7 separate regions of the Mus musculus genome follow, and all the other regions are reported to be linked to region 1. Evidence: microRNA targets listed by miRTarBase, many of them from high-throughput screens and not tested one by one. Region 1 holds a microRNA gene; each other region holds the end of a gene's coding sequence.

The links. Region 1 holds the annotated microRNA mmu-miR-297a-5p (AUGUAUGUGUGCAUGUGCAUGU, at 2,019-2,040, opposite strand). A microRNA usually pairs through its seed, bases 2 to 8, with sites in the 3' UTR of a target mRNA and lowers its output. Matches are read on the target gene's strand: a 7mer-m8 pairs with bases 2 to 8, a 7mer-A1 pairs with bases 2 to 7 and ends in A, and an 8mer does both.
Region 2: the mRNA of Dhx9 is a reported target of mmu-miR-297a-5p. Seed matches in the 3' UTR shown: 7mer-m8 at 706-712.
Region 3: the mRNA of Rsrp1 is a reported target of mmu-miR-297a-5p. The part of its 3' UTR that is shown has no 7-base or 8-base seed match.
Region 4: miRTarBase lists Arrb1 as a target of mmu-miR-297a-5p. Seed matches in the 3' UTR shown: 7mer-A1 at 1,844-1,850.
Region 5: miRTarBase lists Iars as a target of mmu-miR-297a-5p. Seed matches in the 3' UTR shown: 7mer-m8 at 3,524-3,530.
Region 6: miRTarBase lists Cpne9 as a target of mmu-miR-297a-5p. Seed matches in the 3' UTR shown: 7mer-m8 at 1,431-1,437.
Region 7: the mRNA of Ostm1 is a reported target of mmu-miR-297a-5p. Seed matches in the 3' UTR shown: 7mer-m8 at 1,198-1,204.

Annotation. Positions count from the first base shown.
Region 1 is chr2:10,515,049-10,519,116 of GRCm38, reverse strand. Mir297a-4 (microRNA 297a-4) reads right to left here and starts at 2,050; the gene lies at 1,953-2,050. The region is part of intron 10 of Sfmbt2 (Scm-like with four mbt domains 2); the gene reads right to left. Mir297a-3 (microRNA 297a-3) reads right to left here and starts at 3,297; the gene lies at 3,196-3,297. Mir466l (microRNA 466l) reads right to left here and starts at 3,020; the gene lies at 2,900-3,020. It also overlaps Mir669i and Mir669h.
Region 2 is chr1:153,452,506-153,456,573 of GRCm38, reverse strand. Dhx9 (DEAH (Asp-Glu-Ala-His) box polypeptide 9) reads left to right here. Exons shown (of 28, transcript NM_007842.2): 28 at 1-816. The coding sequence ends at 505. Shcbp1l (Shc SH2-domain binding protein 1-like) reads right to left here. Exons shown (of 10, transcript NM_001033162.2): 10 at 4,000-4,068. Among named protein-coding and RNA genes, the nearest start is that of n-TIaat13, 4.1 kb to the left of the region's middle.
Region 3 is chr4:134,926,686-134,930,753 of GRCm38, forward strand. It overlaps Rsrp1 (arginine/serine rich protein 1), which reads left to right. Exons shown (of 5, transcript NM_023665.3): 4 at 50-133; 5 at 246-685. The coding sequence ends at 362. Among named protein-coding and RNA genes, the nearest start is that of Syf2, 2.3 kb to the right of the region's middle.
Region 4 is chr7:99,600,501-99,604,568 of GRCm38, forward strand. Arrb1 (arrestin, beta 1) reads left to right here. Exons shown (of 16, transcript NM_177231.2): 16 at 598-4,068. The coding sequence ends at 709. Among named protein-coding and RNA genes, the nearest start is that of Tpbgl, 25 kb to the right of the region's middle.
Region 5 is chr13:49,733,329-49,737,396 of GRCm38, reverse strand. Iars (isoleucine-tRNA synthetase) reads right to left here. Exons shown (of 34, transcript NM_172015.3): 34 at 3,130-3,738. The coding sequence ends at 3,656. Among named protein-coding and RNA genes, the nearest start is that of Gm23482, 21 kb to the right of the region's middle.
Region 6 is chr6:113,303,873-113,307,940 of GRCm38, forward strand. Cpne9 (copine family member IX) reads left to right here. Exons shown (of 21, transcript NM_170673.3): 21 at 564-1,699. The coding sequence ends at 749. Brpf1 (bromodomain and PHD finger containing, 1) reads left to right here and starts at 3,265. Exons shown (of 13, transcript NM_030178.2): 1 at 3,265-3,465.
Region 7 is chr10:42,699,816-42,703,883 of GRCm38, forward strand. It overlaps Ostm1 (osteopetrosis associated transmembrane protein 1), which reads left to right. Exons shown (of 6, transcript NM_172416.3): 6 at 668-2,647. The coding sequence ends at 723. Among named protein-coding and RNA genes, the nearest start is that of Ostm1, 23 kb to the left of the region's middle.

The DNA.
Region 1 (4,068 bases):
CTGTGTAAAAGCAAGCACAGCATTCTAGTTTGAATTATGTTAGGAGACAAAGATATCACCAAAAATAGACTCTAATATCATATAAATATCAAGTGTTGACAGGGAAAAACAACACTTTAAAAAAATTCTTAAAGAATTATTAAATAAGCAAAAGGATTCTTAGTTTTTAACGACCAGAAATGTTTTCAATATTAAGAGCAACCCAGCTTTACCTCTTAACCCCATTCAATTAAAAGTGACCTTTTTCATAGAGAATGAAAGAGAAGACAGCTATTAATGAGGGAGGTATTCCAGTCTCCCGAGCCAGATGAACGATAAATTTTAAATTAAGATATATTGCAATCTGAAAACTCAAAGAAAATCATCAGGTGTACGAAAAACCAAAAGAATCACACCATAGCCTGCCTGTGTGCTGAGTTCCAGAGATCCAACTCAGGCTGTCAGGTTTCCACAGAAGCCATTTTCACCTGGAGGGAGAACTAGCCCTGGATCCGTTCTGCATAAGCTCTAAAGCTCTGAGTCACATCTCATTCAAATAGATCGATCAGAGCCACTAATGTGCGTGTAGGTGAATGCCAGTGTGTGTGTTTATGTATATGTATGTGAACATTCATATACATACATTTACATGCACACATAAGTATGAACCCATGCACATACATGGGGGAGGGCATCACATGAATCGCATGCTGATCTCTAACTCATCATGAAGTGAAACATGAATTTGAACTCCAGGACCTCCTGACGCTGGCAAGAGTATTCACCTCCTAACTGAGACATAGCTCTGGCCCAGTACTGCATAAGCTCTAAAGCTCTGAGTCACATACCATTCAAAAGGATAAACGAGTGTCATTCCTGTGTGTGAGTGTGTGTGTGTGTGCATGTGTGTATATGCATATTCATATAGAGAAATGAATATGCACTCAACTATACACCCATGCATATTTTTGGTGGGCATCACATGAATGCCAGGATGATCACAAACTTATCAGGAAGTTAAGCATGAATTTAAATTCCTGATCCTTCTAACTCTGGCAAGTGGTTTTCACCTGGTGAGTTAGATGTAACACTGACCCATAATTATACACTCTATAAAACTCTAAGCACATATAAATCAAACAGATCTATGACTGCCATTCTTATGTGTATATGTATGTGTGTGTGTATGTTCATATACATGCATGTACAAGCACACTTACCTACACATATATACACATACACAAGGACAATCAAATGAATTCCAGGCTGATCTCTAACTCATCATGAAGTTAAACATGAATTTGAACTCCGTATCCTCCTGACTCTGGAAAGAGTATCCACCTCCTAACTGAGGCATAGCTCTGGCCCAGTACTGCATAAGCTCTAAAGCTCTGAGTCACATATCATTCAAAAGGATATATGACTGTCATTCCTGTATGTGAGTTTGTATGCATGTGTGTATATGCATAGTCATATAGAGAAATGAATATGCACACAACTATACACACATGCACATTATTGGTGGGCATCACATGAATGCCAGGATGATCTCTAACTCATCAGGAAGTTAAACATAAATTAGACCTCCTGATCCTCCTGACTCTGGCAAGAATACTCACCTCCTAACTGAGACATAGCTCTGGTCCGTTACTGGATAAACTCTAAAGCTCTAAGTCACATACCATTCAAAAGGATATATGAGTGCCATTCCTGTGTGTGCTTGCGTGTATATGCATATTCATATAGAGAAATGAATATGCACACAACTATACACCCATGCACATTTTTGGTGGGCATCACACGAATCGCATCTGATCTCTAACTCATTATGAAGTTAAGCATGAATTCGAATTCCTGATCCTCCTGACTCTGGAAGGATTATTCACCCGGTGAGTGAGATCACGCACTGGCCCAGTCATACAGAACCTCTAAGACTAAGTCACATATCATTCAAATGGATCCATGAGTGGCGATTTTGCGTGTATTTGTGTGCATGCTTGTATGGGTATGTGTGTATGTATATGTATACTCATATACACACATGCACATGCACACATACATATACACACAGGCACATACACTGGGGGGGGGGGGCGCCATCACATGAATCTGAAGCTGATCCCTACCTAATCATGAATTTGAGAATGAATTTCCACTCCTGATCCTCCTGACTCTGGCAAGCATTTTCACCTTGTGAGTGAGAGCACCCACTGATCCAGCCCTGCATAATCTCTCAAACTCTAAGTCACATACCTTTAAGGCCTGACTCTGGCAAGCACTTTGACCTGTTGAGTAAGAGCATGCACGGGCACAGTACTGCATAATCTTTAAAACTCTTAGTCACATATTATGCAAGTAGATGAATGCAAGTCACCATGTGTTTGTGTGTGTGTTGCATGTGTGTGTGTGTCTGCACATGCATATCCATATACATTCATGAACATGCACACACATGTAAGCACACGTGCACATACATGGGTGGCATCAAATGAATACCAGGATGATCTCTAAATGGAGTTTGAACTCCTGATCCTCCTGACTTTGTCAATCATTTACACCTGGTGATTGAGACCATTCACTGTCCCTCTACTGCATAATCTCTAAAACTCTAAGTCATATATCATTCAAATGGATCGATGAGTACCATTCCTATGTTTGTGTGTTTCTGTGCTTGCATTTATACATGTGTGGATGTTATATATATTCATATACACACATGCACACACAACTATACACACGTTCACATGCATGGGGGGAATCACATAAATCACAGGCTGATCTCTAAGTCCTCATGAGTGTAAGCATGCATTTAAGCTCCTGATAGACCTGACTCTGGCAGTTGTCTACACCTGATGAGTGAGAACACTCACTGTCCCCGTACTGCATAATCTCTCACCTCTAAGTCACATGTTATTCAAATGGATCTAAGAGTGCCATTAATGTGTGCGTGTGCATGCATGAATATGTGTGCATGTATTTATATGTATATCAATATATATATACATGTACATGTACACACAAACACACATGCACATACATAGGGGTCATCACATGAATGCCAGGTTGATCTCTACCTCATCATGCAGTGAACATGAATTTGCACTCCTGATCATCCTGGCTCTGGCAAGGGGCGTCACCTGGTGAGTGAGACCTCTCTGTGGCCCAGTCATACAGAATCTCTAAGACTCACATATCATTGAAATGGATCGATGAGTGTCAATTTTCTGTGTGTTTGTGTGCATGTTTGTATGGGTATGTGTGTATGTATATGTATATTCATATACACACATGCACATGCACACATACATATACACACAGGCACATACACTGGGGGCATCACTAGAATCCGAAGCTGATCCTGGACTCATGAATTTGAGAATGAATTTCCACTCCTGATCCTCCTGACTCTGGCAAGCATTTTCACCTTGTGAGTGAGAGCACCCACTGATCCAGCCCTGCATAATCTCTAAAACTTTAAGTCACATGTCATTTAAAAGTATCAATGAGTGCCATTCGGGGTATGTGTGTGTGTGTGTGTGTGTGTGTGTGTATGTGTGTGTGTGTGTGTGTGTGTGTGTGTGTGTGCCTGTGTGTATGTGTTTGTGTGTATTTATATGTATATTCATATGCACACATACATTAGCACACAAAACTATGCAACATGAACATACACTGGGAAGGAACCCATAAAGCCAGGCTGATCTCTAAGCCATTTTGAAGTTATTCATAAATTTGAACTCCTAATCCTTCTGAATATGGGAAGCTTTTTCACATTGTGAGTAAAAAGTTTCATTAGCCCAATACTACATAATCTTTAAAGCTCTATGTCACACATCATTCAAATGTATCAATGAATGCCATTCCATGTTTGTGTGCTTGCATTTACATGTATGTTTATGGTATGTATATTTATATACACACATGTGCATACACAGGGACGTAAACACACATGCACATACACGGGTGGCATCACATGAATACCAGGATGATGTCCAGCTGAAGTTAAGCATGAATTTGAACTCCCGACCCTGCTCAATCTGTAATATGTTTGCACATGGCGAGTGAGACCGTTCACTGTCCCACTACTGC
Region 2 (4,068 bases), not on the chromosome of region 1:
GGGAGGCTTTGGTAGTGGTGGGGGAGGCTTTGGCAGTGGTGGAGGTGGATTTGGTGGTGGTGGAGGAGGCTTCAGTGGTGGAGGAGGTGGTGGATTTGGTGGTGGCAGAGGAGGTGGAGGTGGCGGATTTGGGGGTAGTGGGGGCTTTGGAAGTGGTGGGGGAGGGTATGGTGTTGGAGGTGGTGGCTATGGAGGAGGTGGTGGTGGTGGCTATGGAGGAGGCAGTGGAGGATATGGAGGTGGGGGAGGGGGTTATGGTGGTGGGGAAGGTTATAGTATAAGCCCCAACTCTTACCGTGGGAATTATGGTGGTGGCGGGGGAGGGTATAGAGGAGGTTCCCAAGGAGGCTACAGAAACAACTTTGGTGGAGACTACAGAGGGTCCAGTGGAGACTACCGGGGATCCGGTGGGGGCTATAGAGGATCTGGAGGATTCCAGCGAAGGGGTTATGGAGGTGGTTATTTTGGACAAGGAAGAGGAGGAGGGGGTGGTGGTGGCTATTAAGACTGGACTCTGTCGGAGCCTGTGCATACAGTTGAAAAATGCATGCTGTATGTTTTTCCAAGATGTTTATTTGCACCAAAAAAGTAAACCCATTTCCCACTTAATCTGTAGTTCATGTGTAGTTTCAAGCAACAAATGTAGACTAGTGATTTTGTTTTATATTGTGTAATGTAAAATATGACCTGTTATACAAGTATCATACATACAGTTTGTATTTTTTTTTCTTGAAGGGGTAAAGGTTTGCCTTTTAACTTAACTTGACATTTTCTTGGTTTTCATTTAATAGAAAATAAAGTATTATACTGAAAATTGATTGTGTCATTGATGTTCTTTTTTACAGAATAAGAGTTGAGCCTATATTCCCCCCTTTTAATGTTAGGGTCTCAGTATATCCAGGAACTAGCTGGTTTGCCTCAACCTCAGAGATTTATTTAAGGTGTGTTAGTAACTCTGGTGAAAAACATCTGATTTTAGTTAAAATATTTGTCTTTGAAAACAAAAGACTAAGGCCAGCATTTTCTATTCCAAATTAGTTTCCAGGGGTTGTGGGTGCATCAGGAAAAGTAAGGCCAAATAAAAGCTATAGAGGCCTTGAACACATTTAGGCAATGGTAGGTGAGACCTATAATGTATGACTCAGTATTTAGGTGTAGAGAAGTTGGCCAGTTCTTCCCATTAACATGTATCCCAAAGTATGTAAAGTTACAGGTGCTTTTGATAATTTTTGAAATTTCCAGTAAGTTGCTAGAGTTCTTTGGGGAACAAGAAATCCTGGAAAACCCAGGCCCTGTGGCATGTTAGGCAAGCACTATTAGTATGTAGTCCTGTGTCTGCATTGTTGGAGGGAGATCAGATCAATGGGGGCCAAACATCATGACTTCCTCTGTTAACAGTCTGTTAAAATTTGTCATTTCCATGTGTGTGAACACAGAGTTTAGTTACTTCATTGCATGTTACATCTAGTCTGATCTCTGTTCTCTTAAAAAAAAATTATTCCCTATATCTTAGTAGGCCTTAGCTTGCTTATAAAATAATTGATCCTATACCCAAAGCATTACCCTTTTGCTTAGAGGATAATTTCTCTGTAACCACTCTTACAAGCTGTACTAGCCATGAATATTGATGGGTTTTGGTGCTTTTGATCTTTACATGGTATGAAAAGTAAGAATTAGAAAATCCCACATGCTCCATTTGGGGTGGAATAAATAACTTTGAGAAATGTGAAGTTGAGTTGTATGCACTGTTCACCCCCCTATATGGTGGGAGCCTAAGATTTGTAGTCTGGAGTTACAGAGAACCATTGAGTATAGTCATGTTTTTCAGTATTGAAACTCAAGAGCCCTCCATAGGTCCAGAACTTGTTCTTCCAGCTCTAGTTTCCCAGATTTGGATGTTAGTCGATGTCATTGCCACAGTCTCAAAGCAGTGATCTCTTCACATGAGATGGAGGTCTAAGCACCAGTTAGATTAAGTAGCTTGCATAGTAGATTATCTCACTGCACTTAAACATGCTTTTCTTTCATTTTTTTAAAAGATTTATGTATGTGAGTACACTGTAGCTGTACAGATGGTTGTGAGCCTTCGTGTGGTTGTTGGGAATTGAATTTTTAGGACCTCCGCTTGCTCCAGTCAACTCCGCTCGCTCCAGCCCTAAGGTTTATTTATTATACATAAGTACACTGTAGCTGTCTTCTGCCACACCAGAAGAGGGGGTCAGATCTCATGGATGGTTGTGAGCCACCATGATGTTGCTGTGATTTGAATTTGGGACTTTAGGAAGAGCAGTCAGTGCTCTTACTTGCTGAGCCATCACTCTGCAGACCAGACTGGCCTCAAATTCATAAATCTGCCTGCCTCCGCCTCCCAAATTCTGGGATTAAATGTGTGCCACCACGCCTGGCTCCAACATGCTGTTCTTAATATGAGCATTAATTATATAGTGTAGCCTTACTACCCTATAGTAAGAAATTGAAAGGAGGTTATCAGATTAAAAGTTTACCACAGAAAACAAACACCAGTTTCTGGAAGCCATGTTCAGATTAGAATCTGGAGTTTGGTACCATGGGGACAGATCAAGAGAATATGAATGGGGTCATCTTCAGATCTGTCCAGACAGCAGACATCCAAGCACAATTGTCACAGAGCACATTGGATTGGTGCTAATAAAATTGTTTTTGACTTCTAAAACAGTTACTGAATTTGAAGGTTTTAGGTATAAATCACTTTTTGGAAGTGCAAGGATGGATCTGTATGCCTTTTAATTGTGGCTGGGACAAATGCATTTGTCAGACTTTGTGATCCTTCAGGTTTTAGCTGTGTGAAAGACTGGGAACCTTGGTAACAATCTTAGTGGCTAAGTCCTTTGTCCAGAACATCAAAAGTTTGTGGAGTTGCTAAAGAGTGGGTGGGGGTTTCAAAAGCCATTTAAAAGGCAGTGTGATCTGGGCAGTGGTGACTCATGCCTTTAGTCCCAGCACTTGAGGCCAGCCTGGTCTACAGAGTGAGTTCCAGGATAGCCAGGACTGCACAGAGAAACACTGTCTTAAAAACAAACACCCTTCTGAGTGAATTCGAATCTTGAGTATATACAAAGGCTTACGGGAGCGGGGTGCCTTAGGGTTTCTGTTGCTATGCTGGTCAAGCATCTTGGGGTGGAAAGGGTTATGAAGGAAGTCTTAGCAGGGACTGAAGCAAACTGCCTTGCTCAGTCCTTCCCTACATCCAGGAGCACCTGTCTGGGAGTAGCTGGGTGTGGTGGAGCACACCATTAATCACAGCACTCAAGGCAGAGAGGCAGGTGGATGGATCTCTTGAGTTCAAGCCAATCTGGTCTACAGTGTGAGGGGGTTCTAGGATAGCCAGGGCTGTTACAACTCAATTGAGGCCCTCTTTTTTTTTTTTTTGGATGCTTATCAAGTTCAGAGGGAGTAATGTGACAAATGGTAGAATGTGTGCTTAGTACTTGTAAGGCTCATGGTTCTGTCCCTGGTTGGTATGCACACAAAGAAGCTGTGTATTGGTCCTTATCAAGGAAACATCCCATTGAATTTAGATTCCCTTGGCTGAGAAAATACAGGTTGTAGGAAAAATAGTTGTCAAAGACATTAATGTTCCTAGTTCTCAGGAACTGTCGAAGCATACTTTATTATGACAAGGTTCAGTTTGCTTATGTGGTTTAGGTTAAGGTCTCTGGGATGGGGAGGTATTCTGGATTATCCAGGTGAACCTAATTACCAAAAATGGCTCAAGCTGGCCACTAACTCCATCTCCCTGGGACTGGGATCATAGGCATTCTTCATTCGGGTGGGGATTCTGTGGCGCTGGTGCTGGAACCCAGGGCTTTGCTTTCACATGCCAGGCCAGTACTTCACCTTCTGAGCTACATCCCCAGCCCCTTAGCTATGCTTTCTAGAGTAAATTCTGTGGCATATGACTCACCTTTATAAAGCTAGAATCTTAGCCAACACATTAAAACCACTAATTGAAAGACAGCAAGCATTTAAACATTTTAATCTTTGAATTTAAAACAACCATTTCTGAGATACAAGAATCATTTATCACAT
Region 3 (4,068 bases), not on the chromosome of region 1:
ACAATATTTTAAAAGTTAAGGCTATGTTTAAAATTCTCTTCCTCTTTAGCATTCAGAAAAGCAGACTGAAGATGCAACTAAAAATACCAGTGAAAAGTCTTCTACACAAAGAAACATAGCCTTCAGCTCCAATGTAAGTGAACCCAAACATTATTCTTGAAAATTGGGTGTCCGGTATTTTATTATGTAGGCTTTGTGTGTGTGTTGATAACCTCTGAAGTTGATTTCAACTTACTGTCTTACAGAATTCCGTAGCAAAGCCACTGCAGAAAACAACTAAAGCTGCTGTTGAAGAGAAGTCTTCAGGATCACCAAAAATAGATAAGAAAAAAAGTCCTTACGGACTGTGGATACCTGTCTAAAGGAAAACTAAGGGCTGGGGTTGCCAAAACTGCACTTTACTGAGGGGTTTGTGTCCAGCATTAGATCGTCTGCCTGAGTGATCACAGCAGTAAATGTGATTAAAATCCATTACAGAAAGAGACTTAATGGGGACGTTCATGGTTGAGGTTTCTCTTGAAGATAGGAGGACACAGATGACCCAGAGAATTGCATACAGGTGGGAATCTTGTATATATCTGTAAGTATTGTATAGAATTGCTTATATACAAAGGTGAATTTTTTAAAGACACAGTTGTACACTGAATTTTGTATATTTGTTAATAAACTTTTTATTATTTGTCTTGATTTTTATGGATGTTGAATGTGTCTGTCTACATCTGAAGAAGAAACCTTCCTGAAAACAACACAGGGTTTATGAATTCATACTTTGACATTTGTGTGTTGCATTAGGGAGGTTGGACATTGGTTTCTTTTTTCTTTAAATGTGTATCCCCTCAGGGCTGGTATTGGAATATGCCCTAAGACTCCTCTTAATCATCTGTAACTCCAATTCTAGGGGACCCAGCGTTCTGTTCCATGGGATGTGTGACTCACATGTGGGCAAACTTGATACACATAAATAAAAGACTGACCTTTAAAAGACAGCATTAGTTGTGAATGGTAGTTTATGCTTTTGATTTTAACACTTGAAACAAGTAACAAGTAGACCCTTGAGGTTAAAGGCCAGTCTGATCTACATAGCAGGCTCTAGGACAGTGAGACTGTTAAACCCAAATCCCTCCTGTTGACAGTATCAAAAGATCTCATGCTTTAGAAATTAATGGCTTCAACTTGGCTACACTTTGAAAGTTCCCATTATCTTGTTTGGGAATTTGCCAATAAGCGATCCTTTAAAAAGAATATGAATTAGTAACCAACCAGATTAAGGAGAAGTTAGAATCGAGCTTGTCAGGATTGGCAGTGCTAGCATTGCTGTCACCCAAGAGACTGAAAACCCTGGTCTTAGTTTAGGGAGCTTCCACCCCAGGCGTGGTTAGGTCGTGAACACCAGGTGAGAACTCAACCTCCACCTCCCTGTTAGAGTTACAACCTACTAGTGGGTGCCTCAGGCAGGAGGATTTCACCCTGTAAGCTGAGCTTTGTCCAGCGTCTACTGAGAATAACAATATTCCCTACTGGGCAGAAAGTTTCCTGAGCTTTGCCAGGAAATGGGGATGAGAAAGTATTAAGTCTCAGTCCTCAAATGTGTTAAATTGACAGGAAAGCCAGCCTGTGTATTTGCATTTCCCAACAAATGAGCCACTGTCTATTTAAACACTAAATTCCCTGTCATCACAATTTGTAGTGTGACTAGCAGCTGCCTCTTAAGTACAAATAGTAGGCTGGGGATGTAGCTCAATTGGTTAGAATGCTTCCTGAGTTTCTGTGAACCCAGCATCAGTAACAGTATTTTAGCCCTTCTGGAGGCAGCCCAGGGGCCACATACACAAAGGCAAATTTGCTTTTCTTTTTTTCTTTTTGGGTTTTACTGTGCTTTGAGTAAGGATATACATAGCCATGGCTGTCCTGGAACTCATTGTAGATCAGGCTGGTCCTGAACTGGCCTTGAGATCCTCCTGCCTCGACTGTCCTTGTGCTGTTAGTAAAGGTATGAGCCACTGTGTCTGGTTAAGACCACCCAAAGAGTATAGGTGGCAAGAATGCCCCTATCTATCATTAGCATGCAATTGGACTCAGCATCCTTTGAAAACAAAGATTCACCCTACAGAAAACTTAAAAATCCAATCATCTAGATGTGTATTCCTGGTCACATCCCTTTCTTTGGCCGTTCTTTAAGGTAGCAGTGAATCAGTCTATTTCATATAGCCTTGGATGTCCAGGCTTGCCTCTAACCCCTCAGGTTCTGGGATTAAGGGTGTGGGGCACCATACTTGGAATTTTTTTTTTTTTTTTTTTTGATTTTCGAGTCAGGGTTTCTCTGTGTAGCCCTGGCTGTCCTGGAACCCACTCTGTAGACCAGGCTGGCCTTGAACTCAGAAATCCGCCTGCCTCTGCCTCCCAAGTGCTGGGATTAAAGGTGTGCGCCACCATGCCTGGTGAGATTTTGTTTTTTAAAGGAGGAATGAGGAGCTGGAGATGTAGCCTAGTTGGTAAATATCCAGCAAGGTATAGAACATATGTGGTAGTGCAGGTCTGTTATCCCAGAACTCTGGAGGTAGCAGTCAGGATCAGAAAATGAAGATTAGCTGAGGCTAATGAGGGCACAGGTATTTCATCCCACGAGAGGCAGTAGGATCTCTGAATTCAAGACCAGGATGGTCTTCAGTGAGTTCCAGGACGGGCAGACAGTATAGGGAGACTCAAGAAACAAAGACATATTAAAAGTGATTCAGAGGACGACAGTGACAGCAACTGAAGGTGGTGACAGATTTGTCAAGGCATATTGAGTATATGCTAGTTTACATATAAAATTGCAATTATAGAAATGAAACATCTCTGACATGAGAAGATAATCACAGGATGGAGATGGCTCAGTGGTTGAGTGTGGGCTGCTCTTGTAAGAGGCACCGAGTTTGGTTCCTGGCACACATTTTATCAACTGCCTGAAACTAGTCCCAGTAGATTCAAAGCCTGGCTGCTACACTGAAATGCACAGACTGGAGAGATGGCTCAGTAGGTAAGAGCACTGGCTGTAGTGGAAAGATGTTTCCATCCCAGAACCCACATGGTGGCTCAGGACCACCATAACTCTAGTCTGACCTCCGTCGGCACCAGGCATGCAGGTGGTGCATATATGGATGCAGGCTAAAACCCCATACATAAAAAAAGAAATAGGCCGGCTGTAACTTCCTCATTTAGAGGTATGTATTGCCTTCCATTTGATTTGTGGGGATTTTGTGTGCTAGTTAGACTCAACTCACCTGCCTCACTTCTTCCAGCCAAGTAACTCACTCATTTCTTTTAATCCAGAGACAGGATTTTTCTTTTCTTTTCCTTCCTTTCTTTCTTCCTTCCTTCCTTCCTTTCTTTTTCTTTCTTTTTTTTGGTTTTTCGAGACAGGGTTTCTCTGTGTAGCCCTGGCTGGCTGCCCTGAAACTCACTTTGTAGACCAGGCTGGCCTCGAACTCAGAAATCCGCCTGCCTCTGCCTCCCAAGTGCTGGGATTAAAGGTGTGTGCCACCACTGCCAGGCGCAAGCCAAGTTTTATTAAGCTTGAGAAGTAGCTTCCTACAGGGGAGGGGGACTCAAAAGAGAATTGCCCACAGTTTACATTTTTTTCTTGCCAGTGCTTAAGCTTTTAGATATCCCATGTCTTATAGCACTGGCTAGCCTAGAAGTCACTGTGTAGCCTTGGCAAGCCTCATACTTGATATTCTCCTGCCTCCACCGGCTGAGACGCTAGGAGAATGCCACCACAGCCGATTTGTACCCAGCTATTTTTACACGTGGGATGGCTTTTTCATTTCTAAAATTAATTAGTCGTCGATTTTGAAAGGTACACGTTTCATATATCCCTGTCTTATTCCCGAATTATCTTAGTGACCTTAGTAGTTGCTCTGGTGCTGGAATGTGAGAGTGAACGATATGGGGCCCGCCCTGCTCTTCTACAGTTAGTAACATCAGCAAATTATCTACTCTATGGAAGGGACTTAATGCGGATTAAATTCAAGAGAGACAAGGTTCTTTAGAGCTGGTGACAGGATACGCAGTCCCCAACCAGGCGTC
Region 4 (4,068 bases), not on the chromosome of region 1:
CAAAGGGTCATGGTGGAAAGAAAGAAACAGTCCTTAGTCCTGCAACCTTAAACCAGGCACCTTTCCCCATCACTCTGTCCTCATATCCTCACCATCTTCCAAGCCCCGTTCCAAAGTCCCTCTCCAACCTAGGACTCCGGGGATGTGGGTTAGATCTTCTAGGAGAAAGACCTGTTCTCCTTCCTTAGAACCCAACACCAACTTCCTGGTTGAAACAGTTACCCTCCCTAAAGCAGTCTTGGTAGTTTGATTTGGAGGGGTGAAATAGGGTTTCTTGGGCTTGTTCTTTGGGGATTCCGACGCAGAGCCACATTGCTCCCCCTACTTACCTTCTCCATCTCCCCAGGAACAGGGTTGCTTTTCTAGCCCTTATGCACTGAGAGGCAAGCTTTTTGCAGTTTATTTGTGAGAACCCCCACAGCCATCAGTGGGCTTGTAAATGGGCCAGCCAGGCACGCCTTTCTGCCTGAGGTCATCCCAGAGACCCTGGAGATCAGGGGTTCTCTCTTGAGTCCTCCCATCGTTTGGCCAGGCCTCTGGATCTGCCTGTCGTCTACCTCTGCAAACACACGGCATTTTCCTTGTCTCTCCCACTAGTGATGACGACATTGTATTTGAGGACTTTGCTCGCCAGCGGCTGAAAGGCATGAAGGATGACAAGGACGAAGAGGATGACGGCACCGGCTCTCCGCACCTCAACAACAGATAGACTAGGGCCGGCCTCAGCCCGGCAGCTCCAGGTTCACTCTCGCACTCGGATGCTTTCTCGTCTCCTTCCCATTCTGGTTCTTCCTTTTGTTCTTCCAGTTTCTACCAAGGGGCCCCAGTGGTCTTCCAAGTCTCGGTGATGGGCCTCTCGCATCACCACGCCAGCAGGACCACGTCCTCAGCCATCTCTCTGCAATCACCTGCCCACCTCCTTCTCATGCTCATTCCCAGGAAGGCCACACTGCCTGGCCTTGGGATTTGGCTTGAGATGGGGAGCAGAAAGGGGAGGGTGGGGCCTGAAGGCACAATGATGATGGGTGTGAAGATGTGGAGGGGGTGGGCAAGATGGCTCAAGACACACAAGAAGATGTCTGTAGTCCCAGTAGGTGACAGTTTTGGCAGCTAAATGATGACCAGATTGAAGGTGGGAGAGGGCAGGACTGTGAATAGATTCTCAATGCTTTTTTGTGTGTGTGTGTGGTCCAGGGCCACTAGAGACTCCTCCCCCTCCATCCTCATCCTTGGTCCATGCCCCTATGTCTCATGGGGGAGGCACATAGACCCCAGGAATGAAGAGCAGTGGACTGACTTTCTAACCAGATGACACCTAGATTGAAGCAGGCCACATATGTCAGAACTGATAGACTGAGATATCATAGCTTCATTGCATTTTTGTGTGCTGGCACAGAGAGGGGAAGTGGGTGTTTAACAAACACCAGCCCCTAGCAGTGAGCCAAAGCTACTGAGGATGTTGTCTGAGGGGAGTTTAAGTGATAGGGCCGGGTAGGGAGGCATCCATCCTCTTTTGTAGTGGATAGTCCTTAGGGAAACAAGGATGGAGGGACATAGGCAGCTGGAGCCACCTGTATCTCCCAGCTTCCTCTAGTTCTTCTCCAGTGACTGGCCCTGTAAGGTAGGAGAGAGAAAGAGACAGAGGTGCCTGAGGCCATTATTTCCACTGCTAAGGGATCCCGTTCCCAGAAGGTGGCATCCATCCATCCAGATGTACTCCCAGGACGAAGGCAGCTCCTCTCCTAAAGGAGTTGGTTTTATTAGTACCCAGAGTCATGGGTACCCGGTTTCCACCAGGTGGTGTTAGTATGACTTGACCAGGGTGAATCTCAGGGTAACAGGGCATACAAGTGGTAAAACAGAAAATGCTCAAAGATATCCTTGTTTGGTCTTCGATGCTAGCTTGTTGTGTGACCTTGGGCCAGTTCCTTCCCCTCTTTGGGCCTCAGTTTCTTGTTGGAAAAGCCAGGAGGTCGACCAGATGATTCCGAGAGTTTCTTGTTCAAGTTTCTGTAAGTTTGTGGCTCTCAAGAGCTTCTGATCTTCCAGTTGGAGCTGGGGCTGCTAACTGCTCCGTCTGCCTTCAGAAGAGGTTCATGGTGAGGACCCAGGACAGAGCAGATCACTGAGTGTACCTTCCTGCCGAGGCAGGGCTGCTCTTGGACCTAGTCAGCTTATCTGATATCAGGTTGTGGCCAGAGCTTTTGTGGACTTCTCTATCCCAGAGCTTCTGTGTGTGGAGACTTGCATGAGAAGTGTGGGAACAACCTTGGGTTTATCAAACATAATTGCTTGTTAGGGCAAGAGGATCTCATCTCCGTTTCTGTTCCTCTCTCTTAGTTCCACACTTGCCGGAGAAGGGAGGCCACAGCTTGTGTTTGGTTTTGAGACAGCGTATCATGAGGTGTAGGCTAGCCATGAATTCACTACATAGCCGCGAATGACTTTGAATTCCTGATCCTATTGTTTCAAGTGCTGGGATTGCAGGCATGCCCCTGCCACTGCTGGCGCCATGCTTTATTGTACAGATTAGATCCCAGCCATTCTTAGTCCATCATGCCCAGTGTTTGTTGTTATTTCTTCTGGTGAGATGGTCCAGGCCCACTGCTCTGAACCTCCTACATTTCATAAGCAGTCAACTCAAGGAACCTCTTCCCAGGTTAGGACAGCCGTCTTGGGGCAGCCACATTGCCTGGCCAGCTCAGATCATAACTGCAAGCTCCCCTGACATCTAGCCCCTGCCAGAGCTAGCTGGATACTTTTGCACCTATAGAATTGATTAAAACCTTGAACAGTGTAAGGCAAGCATGTGCCCTCCAACTGGCTTCCATTAAAACCTCTGGAGCTGATACCAGACCCTTTAGCATTTGGACTAACCTCTCCTGTCCCCCATCCTTAACTGATACGAGCAAAAGGTCTCCCAATCTGGTTTCTCAGGCTTCCTACACGTCAGCATCCACATTCTTTCCGTTTATCCCACAGATCTACCTGCAGGGGAGCATCAGAGCCCTGGCTGCCTCTTTGTGTTTTGAGCTACGCCTGCATAAGGGCAATGATCAAGTTAGAGTCTAGCCAAACCATCCTTTGATGATAGCTTTGTTCTTTTATGCTGTATACTACTAAGATGGATCTCACCCTAGAATCCCTGTCTCTAGAAACCTTCTGGCCAGGGGAAATCTAGAAGACCGCATTGACGGTTCTGGCTACAGCTAGTCCACACAGTGCCTTGATGTGAGTTTGAATACAGTGTCCTTCCTAGGTGGATTCAAACCCTGGAAATGACACTGTAAGGGGCTGGAATTTGGTGTCATTTGTCCCTACTCCACAGTCTTATGCTGCCATACTGGGTGAGATACACAGGCTCACGTATTTCTTTGGCCTCTTCTTTTCTTGTCGTGCCCCACCCCCATCACATGACATAACCCAGTACTTCTCTGTAGGGCTCTTTTTTGTTCTGGAGTTTTCCTGGCCAGGCAGCACTTGGGAGTGAAACTGGAGGCGGAGGTTTCCAGGCACCATCCAGTGAGATTGGGTTTTCTTGTGCTGACAGATTGGGACTTGGGCCACCAAACAGCCCACATTGGGACTTTCCAGTAGACCAAAGGGCACATGTTAATGCCAATCTGGGCAAGAAGAGCATGCTTTGTAAAAGCTCATCAATTGAGGACGACTGGACTTGCCCAGTACCCCAGCCAAGAGAAGAATTTGTCTCCTAGAAACATAAGAATTGAGATGCTTGGCTGGACCCCATGGCCACTTCAGCTTCAAAGCGCAACTGGCATCCCCCTGGAGGGTAGCTGATTCCCATCTGATGCAGTGAAAGTCCTGAAAGTCCCCAAGGCCACCTCTCAGTCTCTCCTCACTGGAACAATAGCCTTTGTCTGCTTTATTTGAGGGCTTGCTGTGGGTTTGAAGTGAGATGTAGGCCAACTGGCTGCACAGGTGTGGCCCTGTTGCTGCAGGGAGGAGGCCCGAGGTCACACAGGAAGCTTGCTGTGGAATGAGCCCTCTGTTTACCAGTCTTTGTCCCTGTGTCCCAGGTTAGATATCAGCCATGATTATCATCGT
Region 5 (4,068 bases), not on the chromosome of region 1:
CAAATTTGACCTAGTTAGCAATCAAAAAAGAAAAAGAATTGGGGGCAGAAGAGATTGTTCAATGGTTAAGAACCCTGGCTGCTGTTCCAGAGGACCTGAGTTTGCTTCCCAGCACCCACGTGGTGGCTCCTAGCTGTCTTTAACTCCAGTTCTAGAGAGTCCAATGCCCTCTTCTGGCATCTGTGGGCACGAGGCACATATGTGGTGCCCAGACAGGCAGACAAAAACTCATACACATAAAGAAGTATATTAACCTTTTTAAAAAAAAATGGAATTTTGACTGATATTTGTTATCTAATATCAGGAAAAGCAATATAAGTAGAGACACCAAACCACTAGAGCCTTGAAAAACCTCTACATATACAAAATTTCATATAATTTTTGAACACTTAATAACATACAAACAATTTAGTGCATATAAAACATTTTAAATGTTGGCACCCAATATTGGTAAACTTTCTAAGATTTATCTGTGTGTTTGCAAGTATTCTGTGAGTACCCGAGGAGCCCAGTAAGTGCTGAGATGACCTTGGAGTTAACCAATGAGAACGCTCGGAACTGAACTCTGGTCGCCTGCAAGTGCAGAGGCTCAACTTTAGTCTTTTTGTTTTTTATTTTTTGTTTTTGTTTGTTTTTTATTTCTTTTGACAAGGTACAGGTACATTCTCTCTGGGAAACCATAAAGCTACTTTGAGATGATATGGACTAAGTTTGTGTCCCATCCCTTGGGGTGCTTGTTGAGATCCTATCTGTCAAGACAGCATTAGGCCTTGGGCTTAGGAGAGGTTTGGTCCAGCTGTACCTGTGCCAAGTCCAGGCTTTGTAAGGTTCTGTTTTCTCCTTCAGTAGCTTTTCACCAGAGCATGCTGTAGTGGCTCTTTGGCCTAGACAGACGGAAGCCATGATTTACTTAGTGTAGGGAAGAGTTAAGGCAGAAAGCCCAAAGACTGTCCTGTCTGTTTCAAGTTGCTTTGGTTTTGTGCTCACCAGGGAGATAGTACAACCTCTTAAGGACCTTGAATTTATAAACTTGTCTGTCTCTGAGTACAGGGATTAAAGGAATATGCCTCCACACTCCACAAGATATTCTTGTCCGCTTCTCTGTACAGGTATTTCCTATTCAGTGCCAATGGCACTTGAAACTTTGACCCTAAATTGTAGGATTCTCAGAGCAAGCCTTAATTAAACACACAAACTTCTTGTGTATTTGTAGCAATGTACATATGATAATCATCGGCAACTTGTAGGGGTCAGTTTCTCTTCTACCATGTTGGTCCTAGGGATCAAAGTTAGATAATCTATCAGTCTTATATCTTGCTGGCCTAGAGTGAGATTTTAAAGGTAACCTCTGGTGTAGATGTTTTTGTTCTCTGGGGTAGTGGATGGTACAAAGCTACTCTTTCCAGTTTAAAGGGGAAATGTGTCCTTTGACACATTATACTAGTTAGGAATGTTTGCTCACCTGGCCATACTACATAATTTTAATGTGATTTATGGCTAGGCTTGACCCAATTTGTAGTCTTAATTGTGTGTGCAGGTGGGGAACCACATCAGAAAGATCTTTTTCTTAACCGCTGAGCCATTTCTCCAGCCCCAGAAAAATCGTCATGTGGAGTTTTGGGGGTCATGCAGTACCAGCTGACCTAGACTGAGATAAATCATAACAGCAGTTGGTTGTGCCCGTTATTTAGGTGGTGGCTCCTGGCTGCCGATGTTCCGTATACTGTCACGCTTTGGTGCCAGGAATGTATCCTGGCTCCAGGTGACAGATAACACAATTGGTGAGTAAAGACACCCAAACTTGCCTTCTCTAGAGGAGGAACCTCCAAAAGCCAACTGGTGATAGAGAGCTGCAAGGCAGGCAGCTCCAGACGAGCCACAGCCGTACAAGGAGCCCGTGTCTAAAACCATGAAGATGAAGCCGTCCAGCTTTCTCCACTCACCAGTTCTCCCAGTCTCTCGGCTGGTGCTGAGGATTCTGAGCTGGACATTGCTTAGGTTTTCGTTGCTTTGTTGCTTTTACAATTGAGCTTTTCCACCACTTTTCTACCACTTCAGTCACCCACCCATCCGTTTTTCAGTTCTCCCCTATTTTAGCTGTTGTTGTTTCCCATCTCGTCCAATTGGTGGGTTTGTGGTGTTTTGATGGCTGTGGGCCTGCATCACTCAGATGGCTTTTCCAAAGAATCCATTTTGAAGAATCTGATGAGTTGGCTGCTAGCATTCAGCTACCGCACCGTAACATACACTGAGGCATCTGTGCCAAGGCCATAAACCTCAAGCTGTTCCTAGACACTGACTATGAGAGGCAGGGACACTAAACCAGGCTGTCCTTCAAACTGACATGCTAAAAAAAATAAAATAAAATAAAAAAATAAAATCTTTGCCTGATAACTTTGTGCTTGCAATGACTGTTACAGAGTTGTGAGTTAGGAAAGCAGAGTGGAGAGTGAAGGCAAGAAAGCCTCCCACAAATGTTACAAAACGATCAGAAACCTACTGCCAAAGAAGATGGCTGGAAACCCCAAGAAGCAAACTAAATCCCTCCGCTGTCCTAGTCCAGAGGCTCATTATAATACCAAAACACACCCCTGGGCGGAGACTTCAGATACTTCTTAGACATGCAACGCATGTACTTATAAGAACTCCACCAGAGCACCCTTAAAATAAGGTTAAACAAAAACGTCCATGCTATAAATGAGCCCTAAGTCCTGAGCGAGCTGGCATGAAGACCCAGCTCTGTACAGTGGAGCCTTTGAGCACTAGACGCCCAGTGTTCCCGCTTCCTTCCTTCCTTCCTTTTCTAGCAATGGTTGTCTCTGCTGTGATCCACGCTCCTCTGCACCCCAGGCTTTCCCAGATCCCTTTCTCCCTGTCCGACTGTGGGAGTGTGGAGTCTGTAACACCTGCTCCTGCTGACACCCATTACTTATGTCTACTGCCATAACAAAGTGTACAACCATCTCATTTTGTCTTGGCAGCTGCTTCTTTGAGGACCCAGAATTTTGGGAAGAGGTAATATTCGATGTTCATTCGATGTCTTAATATGTAGACGTGGTTAAATTTAGTCTTTCAAAGATTACAGATTTCAAGTTTCATTAAACTATGGGAGAATAACTACTTCCAACACAGTATCTAAGAGAGTGTTTACTGTTTTGATTTAATCAAACGTAAAATATTCCATCAAATTACCCAGGAAAATCCAGGTAGCAGAAATATATAACATATCCATTTCTTCACAAGGTCTCAAATCTGTTTTACAAGGCCATATATATATGTATATGTACTATGCCATTTAAACCACTTCCACTTTCTATACTGAAGAACTCCAGTATAGAAATAAGCTTCGTGGTGTTGAGGTAACATTGGGACACTCCCCCAACATGACTGCATAGGTGTTTAAGGTTAAATGTGAACATGATGTGAGGTCTCCAGTCAGTCAATCCCATTAGAATCGCCGGTTAAAAGCAGCATATTTGACAAGTGCCCAAGGAGATAACTTCACTGAACCCATGTGTGTGTGTGTATGTGTGTGTGAGAGAGAGACAGAGAGAGAGAGAGAGAGAGAGAGACATAGAGAGTGTGAGTGTGTGAGTGTGTGTATAAGGAGATGGGTAGATTCAAGGAAGACTGACTGAAGGCATACTGATAGCTGTTAGCCATCTGCAGTTGTTGGCAAGACAGAAACATATACAGTCTTCATATTCAAAGTCTTCATTGGGATATCTTCTGTAATTTCTAGAAGAGAGAAAAATTTCAAAAAGTCAATATTCTATATGAGTAAACATATAAAAAAATGTTAACTGCCTATCTTGAGGCCCATTCTAAGGCCACTTTGACTTCTGTCCTAGCTTTTAGTGGGGAATCTCTCAACTCTTGGCACGTCCTGATAGGTTTGTCTTTGTTGCTTACAGTACGGCTTTGATTACATATTATCTTATGTTAGTGAGGTGACTGAGGGCAGGGAGCTGCGAAGTGTGTGGACTGGTTGGTAACCTTTGAGACACAGACCAACCATGCAGGCATTGAATTAATTGAGCCTACGTATTAATCCTCAACAAAGTTCTG
Region 6 (4,068 bases), not on the chromosome of region 1:
AGAGGCAAACACGGGGCTCTGGAGGGTGCTTTTCCCTGCCCTCCCTTTATTAACCTCCTTTCTCTGGCAAACTGCTCTTCCCTCTCAATCCCAACGCCTCCCTCTCTTGCTCCCAAGTTCAACGCTCTCCTTCCCAGCACTCGAGTAGAAGGCAGATGGATCTCCCTGAAGGCCAGCTTGGTCTACATGATGAGTTCCATGATAGCCAGGGTTTCATAGAGAGACAGGGTGAAAGGGGGGCAGTTCAGGAAAACCCAGAGGAGTGGAGTTGACACGAAGGGAAGCTTCTAGAAAAGGAGGGGGGAAGAGTGTGGTGTCAGGAGTAGTGATGTGGTTCAGTGGTAGGCAGCTTGTCTTGCATATACAAGATCCTGCGTTCAATGTCCAACACCCGACACAAAGAATTGGATGCATTCAGAAGGATGACATTCAAGTACAGTGAAGCTAAAGAGACTCTCAGAAGAATAGTGATAGTTGGAAAGAAATGTTAGGGGTCAAAGATGAAACTTGAGTGCTACCTACTCCCTTGGCCGAAGCTCACCTTTCTTTCCTGTCTGTCCCAGTTTGTCCCATTCCGAGATTATGTTGACCGATCGGGGAACCAGGTGCTGAGCATGGCCCGACTGGCCAAGGATGTACTAGCTGAGATTCCTGAACAGTTGCTCTCCTATATGCGCACCAGGGACATCCAGCCTCGACCTCCTCCCCCTGCGAGCCCCAACCCAACCCCAGCCCCAGAACAGCCCTGAGGACTTCACATAGCCAATGCTTAGCAGTCTGCTTACCTGTCTACCCACTGCTGGAAGTTAAAGGCACCTGGAGCTCTGAACCTGACCAGGAGGGCCATCTAGGTTGATCAGTGCTGGCTGACAAGCTTTTTGCCCCCTGACTTCAGAAAGGCTTGGCATGATCACCACCTACCGCCTCATGACAACAATAAAGCTCATCTTACGCAGTCTCTGTCTCATGGGTGTTGGAGAGGGAGACTGAGGGACCCAGAGCCTGGGGTCACATCAAGAGTGAGGGAGTAATGATAACTTCAGTGAGGTTAACATCCATCCTAATGCACTCATCCAGTCACTTCTATATAAAATTTCAAATATTGTAAGAAAACGTGTGGGCTGGTGAGATGGCTCAGTGGCTAAGAGAACTGACTGCCCTTCCAAAGGTCCTGAGTTCAAATCCCAGCAACCACACTGTGGTTCACAACCACCATTAATGAGATTTGATACCCTCTTCTTGTGTGTCTGAAGACAGCTACAGTGTACTTATATATAATAATAAATAAATTTTTGGGCCGGAGCAAGCAAGATCTGAGCAAGCAGGGTTGATCAGAGCGAGCAGAGGTCCTAAAATTCAATTTCCAACAACCACATGAAGGTTCAGGTGTACAGCTACTGTGTACTCATCTGTACAGCTACAGTGTACTCACATACATAAAATAAATAAATAAATCTTTAAGAAAACTTGTTATACATACTTGAACACTTTTTTCCTCAGGACAGACCCATAGCTTTCATGAGATTTTCTAAAAGGTTCTTCACCCCAAAAGAGCTAGCTTTAAGACAACTGTGAGGTCCTAGTGGTACAAGCCTGTAATCACAAGTTCAAGGCCAGTGTAGGCAACTTATCTGGACTTTGTCATTAAAAAAAAAAGTTTTGTTTTGTTTTTTAATAAAAAAGAAACGGCTGTTGTGATATATCCCTGTCCTTGTGTGTGCAAAGCCTTCAATAATGAAAAAAAGCTGTATAACTTCTTTGATTCATTTATTTTGGTTGTTTTGTTTAGATAGGGTCTTGCTGTATGGCTCAGCCTGACCTGGAACTCATAAGCAGTTGGAGCAATCCTAATTCAATCCTCTTGAGTGCTGCGATTACTGGTTTATTCTGAATTTTCTGGATGAGTATAATAGCTTGTATTTTCTTTGTGCATGCGAATCTTATACAACAGACACTGTATTAGGCAATTTACAGTCTTCAACTCTCTTAATCCTTATCATAACCCCGGGACAGAGGGACTATATATTATCCCCATTTAATAATGAGAAACTCCGCTGCAATAAGCCATTTCTTTATAGAAACCACCGATTTTACGCCAGACCCCCCCTTTTGACCAGGAAACAACTTGGAGTGCTGGTTTTATTGGCATTTCTCGGGGGAAACGTGTCATAAGAAAACGTGCACTTTAGGGAGCTGAATACCAAGTCCGCATGAAAATAAACCGCGTTCTCAGTGACTCTAGCATCTTGGAAGACTATCATACTCTTCAGTGACAAAACTACAAGCACTGCTTGACAATGATGATCCCTGACATCCAAATTCTCTGAAACCCCCAGGAACTGACAGAATTTTCGAGTTCCAGGTTTACAATTGAAGAACCCAAAGAAGAATTTCCCACGATCACACTTGAGGTGTCAGTCATATTCAATGGGCTGTGTGTTTTGATACCGTCTTCCAATCAGCTACCGGTAACCTTGTAGTCCAGCGCTGCCAATCTGAGTCCTACAGTTTTACTGGAATGCACTGGAACCTCCCCAAACTCAGTTCCCTCATTAGGGCCACGCCTCGTCACCCTTCAGTCTCACATTTCAGCGGAAGCCCCGCCCCTTACGTTCCTAAGTCCCGCCCTTACCCTGCAGCACTGTGGTGCGCTTTCCCAGCTGTAGCTTCATCCCTAGTTTAGCTCCACCTTCCAGGCTTACCCAAAGCTCCGCCCTTCGTTACTTGGGCCCCTCGGGCCCACTCTTCCGGCTGCGGTCGTCGCATCAGGGCACCGCTTTCCCGCAGCTCCACCCCCTAAACACAAGCCCCTCCCGCGCCGGCCTAGTCTTCCCACGTCGCCCCGCCCCTGACCATATCTGCGGGCCTCTGCGGCTCCCTTGCGTTCGTCCGGCTCTAGGCCCTGCCCTCAACTCCGCCCCACCCGGCGCTCCCGCCCCGTTCCTCCCAGTCGCCTTCCTCGGAGACCAAGGCCAGGTCCCTACCGCAGCAGTCGCGCCAGCAGGAGGGAGGGAGCAGGCGGCGGCAGAGGGGGAGGGGAGAAGGGCGGGCTCCTCACGCCCAGCCTCGCGCTGCCTGTCCGTAGTCGCAGATTCGCCACAAACGGCCCGAGGACTCAGACTCCCCAAAACTGAGCTTTCGCTCGCCAGAAACTCCACTTAGAACATGGAGGCGCTTGCTGAGCCCTTTAAGGTGTCCAGAGATCTTTTTCAGACCGACAGGTTGGTCTCAAGCTCCTCAGTAGACCGGCGAGGAACCGTGGCGAAAGTGCGTCTATACAGCGCCACGGGACCACGTTTACCCTGGCGGACGCCGTCGCCGTCGCTGCTGCTGCCGCCGCTGCCACAGCCTTTGCCGCCACGGTCTCGCCGCTGCTGTTCCTGTGCCGCCTCCAGGAGCCCCCCCATTGTCCCGGCGGCACCGGGTTCCCAGGCCAGAAGATCCAAAAGCTCGGGAAACGCGAAGGTGCTTGCGGAATTGCGACGCTGGGGCACCGGCGGGACCAGGAGTGGCAGGGGTCAGCGCGGGAAGCCGGGGGAGCCGGGCCAGAGAGTGCGGGGCAGGAGCCGGGGCGGCCAGCTTCGCTTCCGAGAGTTCGGGTTTCCCCTTCTCGGCCCGTCTCTCATCGCCGGCCTCCCACACGGGGTTGGAGCCCCGGCGGGCGCCCCCGGCGATGAGCCCAGACTGGAGGTGGCCGGTGAGTACGGGCCGGGGCCGGGAGGTAGTGCCAGTGGAGAAGGGGCAGCCCTGGCGAGGCGCCTTAGGCTCCTCCTGAGCCCCTGGAGCAGGGAGAATTGACATGCCATTCGTTCGTGGGGAGCGTCCGCGGCAGCAGTGTTCCCTTTGAGGCTGCCTGGGCCAGAGGCAGAAGGGAAACCTTGTTTGACTTGTTACACTTTGACAAAAGGGAAGCGGCGCAGCATCCGGGAGATTGGGCTCTAGCCCCGCGGGCCTTGTCCCACCCCTTACCCCTTACTTCCTTCTGCTCCTGGAGTTCCCGGGAGTAGGTGCTTCCGCCATATCCAAGGGCCCCAGGGCTTTCAGAGCTAAGTTCTGGACACCTTCGTG
Region 7 (4,068 bases), not on the chromosome of region 1:
ATACCCTTTACCACTGAACTGGCGCCCAGCATGAATGTGTTGAGATAGGGTCTCGCCGTGTAGCACAGGCTAGCCTGGAATTTGCTATGTAGGCCAGGCTGGCTTCAAACTCACAATCCTCCATTCTTAATCTCCTAAGTTCCAGGATCACAGGCACACACCGCGTGCCCTACTTGAAAAAAAAATGCTTTTGTCTGAAAATAGAGGCAATGTTCTGTCCTTCGGTACGTATTCTTTCCTTTCCCTGATTGTATTAGCTATGGTGGTGTCTTGGTCCAGCTCTTAGGAGGAATTCTTCAGACTTCGTAATTAACAATGACTGGGGTAGAAGCTTTGTAAACACTCTTGTCTTTTAAGAGATGTTTAGAGCTTGATTTCTAGCTTGGACTTTCCTTGTTATTCTTTATGTACACGTTAACATTGCAGTGCTCAAGAAAGCGTGGATGCCTGTTTTATTAGGTACTGCTCTTAACAAAGTCATGGGTAGTAGCTTCTACTTAATTTAATTTTATGCTCTTCATTAAAAAAAAAACCTTAGGTTTTACGTCTAGGAAAATTGGATCAAGCCATGTTAAGCCAATCAATAGACAATATAGTGGTTTGCATGTAAGCACTGGGTAAGCCCTCGAGAGCAGGAATTTAAACTCAGCCCTGTGTCTCTCCCCAGCCAAACGTCTCAAGTCGAGCACCAGTTTTGCCAACATTCAAGAAAATGCCACCTGAAGCCTGCAAAACGGGGACTCGACCTCACGTTGTGCCAGTAAGTGTTAGACCACAGCACAGTCGAGAAGAAGATGAGCCAAGGTCGGACAAGTTGCATTCTCACGAAATGTTGGGACTGCAGACCTATAATTTATTCTGAATAAGGGTTCTCAAATTCCCTTTTCCTGAGCACCCCTTTTTTTTTTTTTGAAGATTTCTGTATTTTTAGTTTTCAAACATAGCAATGTTACATATTTTAAGGTATATCTGTTACAATAACAAGTGAGGGCTTTTTTCTCAGGCATATGAATGACTACTGGACACTTCTGATTTATCCTCGTTAGCAGAAGTACACAAAGCAGAAAAGGCTGAGGTCTGCTATTTACACATTAGTCACTGGGAGCCCACTCTGAAAAAGAAACATACTTGCCAAATGGTAGCAGGCTCAGTGATTAACTTAAGTGAATTCCCATTGTAGTATTGTTGTATGTATATACATACATGCACACACACACACATATATATATACACGTATACATAGATGTATATATGTAATGTATACTTAATATATCATACATTAAAATAATGTTCTCTAGTTCCCTGAAGTCCCTTTTGAAACCACTAGTTGATTATAAACCTCCTTAACAGTTTTCAGAGAGTGATTCCACATTATGCATTTATCCTTGTTAAAGGTTTACAGTAACTGAGGTTCTAATATGACTTTTATAAATACTATTTTACATCTTATTTTTGTCTTTATTTAGTAAGTAATTTATAATCACTGGACTGCTTAATTACCTTTGAGGACAAGATGGATTCATCTTATGCCAGGGATTTGCATCATGAATTTCATTAAGTTATTTGGCAACCTGTAACTTGTTAGTAGTTCAAGTCGAATGTCACCCAAGTGTGTCATACTGTGTTTAAATTTGTGATTTTTTTTAATGAAAATTTTATCTTGGAATATTTGGAGATTTGGGGAGAAACAAGGACAAACACAAGAGCTTAAATTTCAGAAAATAGACAGGGACCTGAGGGATGCTCACGGTGAGACAGCTGCGTGGTTTACACTGGAGATGACTCGGTTGACAGGCTCGCACAGGAAGCCTCCCAGTTACGGGAAAGATGAAAGTCACATGACTGAAACGAAATTACCCATCTCACTGTCAGGAAACTAGTTCTTCTTTGGCATATTTCTAGCAACCTTTAAAACCATGCTTGTTTCAGTGTCACTCAGTTGTATTTCTCAAGATGTAGAAGTTGATGGTTTTGTTGGTTAATCCGGTGGAAACGGGCTTTGTTGTAAAGGTAATGAATAGGAAACTCCTCAGATTCAATGGTTAAGAAAATGTGACTCCCTTCACAACCTGTAATTGCCCTACAGGAAGGCAGGAGTGTTTGGGTATTTTTTGTATGTTTCCCACATATGCAGAGTGTGAGAGCAGGCTAGTCTTAGTCCCAGAGTGTGTCACACCGGGTATGTGACAATCAGACGACGCTGTGATCCACTAGATGTGCCGGGGTTCATTGTGCTGTCATTGTTCCTGTCTTGATTTGAAGCACATGGTTGAGGGTCATTGGAAGCCATCTTCATCAGTACATGTAAAGCTTATTTACATGTGCAAAGTGAGTGAAGTGACATATTTAAACTGTGAGTAGCGACTCCTCGGGTACCTTTCAGTACTGTGTGTACAAACCACTGCTTTTGGCTAAGAAGCTGGAGAGCACTTTAACAAGCCAGCCATCTCTGTTCCTGATCAGGGTCTGGCTCTCTAGAGGTTGCATTAGAAATATATTTGAAAATGTGCCAAAGAATTTCATCTTGTGGTCATATTAAAAAAATGTACATAGTTCTGAATCCTGAGGCACATAGGGTTATGTGTGTGCACAAGAAAACCTGTTTTTTCCTTATGCTTTACAATAAAGGAAATAACAAGGAAAATTGTAATGTTGTAATTGAATTTTTATTCTCTTAATTTATTATTATTATTATTGAGACACTGTCTCAATATATAGCCCTGCCTGTCCTGGAACTCACTATGAAGCCTTGAACTCACAGAGATCCACTTCCCTCTGCCTCCTGAGTGCTGGGACTAAAGGCCTGCTCCACTACACCTTACTGTAACTGAATTTTTAATTCACTTAAACACCTTGAGATCAGAAACTTAACATCACACCTCAGTTTTTAAAATTTTGTCTTATTACTTATCTAATGAACCCACGCCCACAGTGACACACTTCCTCCAACAAGGCCATACCTACTCCAACAAGGCCATACCTCCTAATAGTGCAATTCCTTGGGCTAAGCATATTCAAACCACCACATTCCACTCCCTGGCCCCCAATGGATTGTTCAAACACATAAGTCTATGGGAGCCATACCCAGCCAAAGCATAATGCAAAATACACAGTCCAGCTTCAAAAGTCCCATAGTCTATAGCAGTCTCAACAATGTTAAAAGTTCAAAGTCTGAGATTCATGCAATCTCTTAACTGTAATCCCCTAAAAAATCAAAATTAAAAAGCAGATCAAATTATACCTCCAACATCATAGAATATACCTTAAATTCCAAATCATCATGATGAGGAAATACTAAACCAAAGTAAGACAGAAAACCAGCTGGGAAAACTCCAAACTCAGTATCTCCATGTTTGATGTCCAACTCCTTTCATCTTTATTGACTACAACATAATTCTTTCTTTTTGGCTGATTCCAATCCCTGTTAGCAGATTTCCTTTGGAGGTTTCCCACAGCTCTGGTATCTTGAACATTTTGGGGTCACCAAGGCAATTTCAATGTTAGAGATTCTTGTTCAAATGTCTGGGATCCACATAAGATCTTCTGGGCTCTTCCAAAGGACTTGCGTCACTTCTCCAGCTCTGCCCTCTGTAGCACTCTAAGCTCTGGTTGACTCTACTCCACTGCTGCTGCTGTTGGTGGTGATCCTCCCATGGTACTGACATCTCCAGGATGCTGGGATCTTCCACTGAAACTAGGCTTCACCAATAGCCTCTCATAGGCTCCCTTCATGGTGCCAAACCTCAACTTCTTTGCATGACCCCTTCAGTCTTGGGCCATCAACTGCAACTGAAGCTACACCTTCACCAATGGCCTTTCCTGGCCTCTCACTGTGCCAAGCCTCAGCTGCTCTCCATGACCCCTTCATGCCTCTGTCTCCTGGGACTAAAGGCATGTACTACCATGCCTAGGCCTAAGCTTTTCAGGGCCACTATACATCAAGATCTGGACCAAAAGCCTATGTTTTCCAGCCTCAAAATCATGTGTCCTCCATTTCTGTACTATATTTCATTCTAGATTAAAATAACCAGGTAATAATGCCTACATATAACTATTCCTTGTTCAACT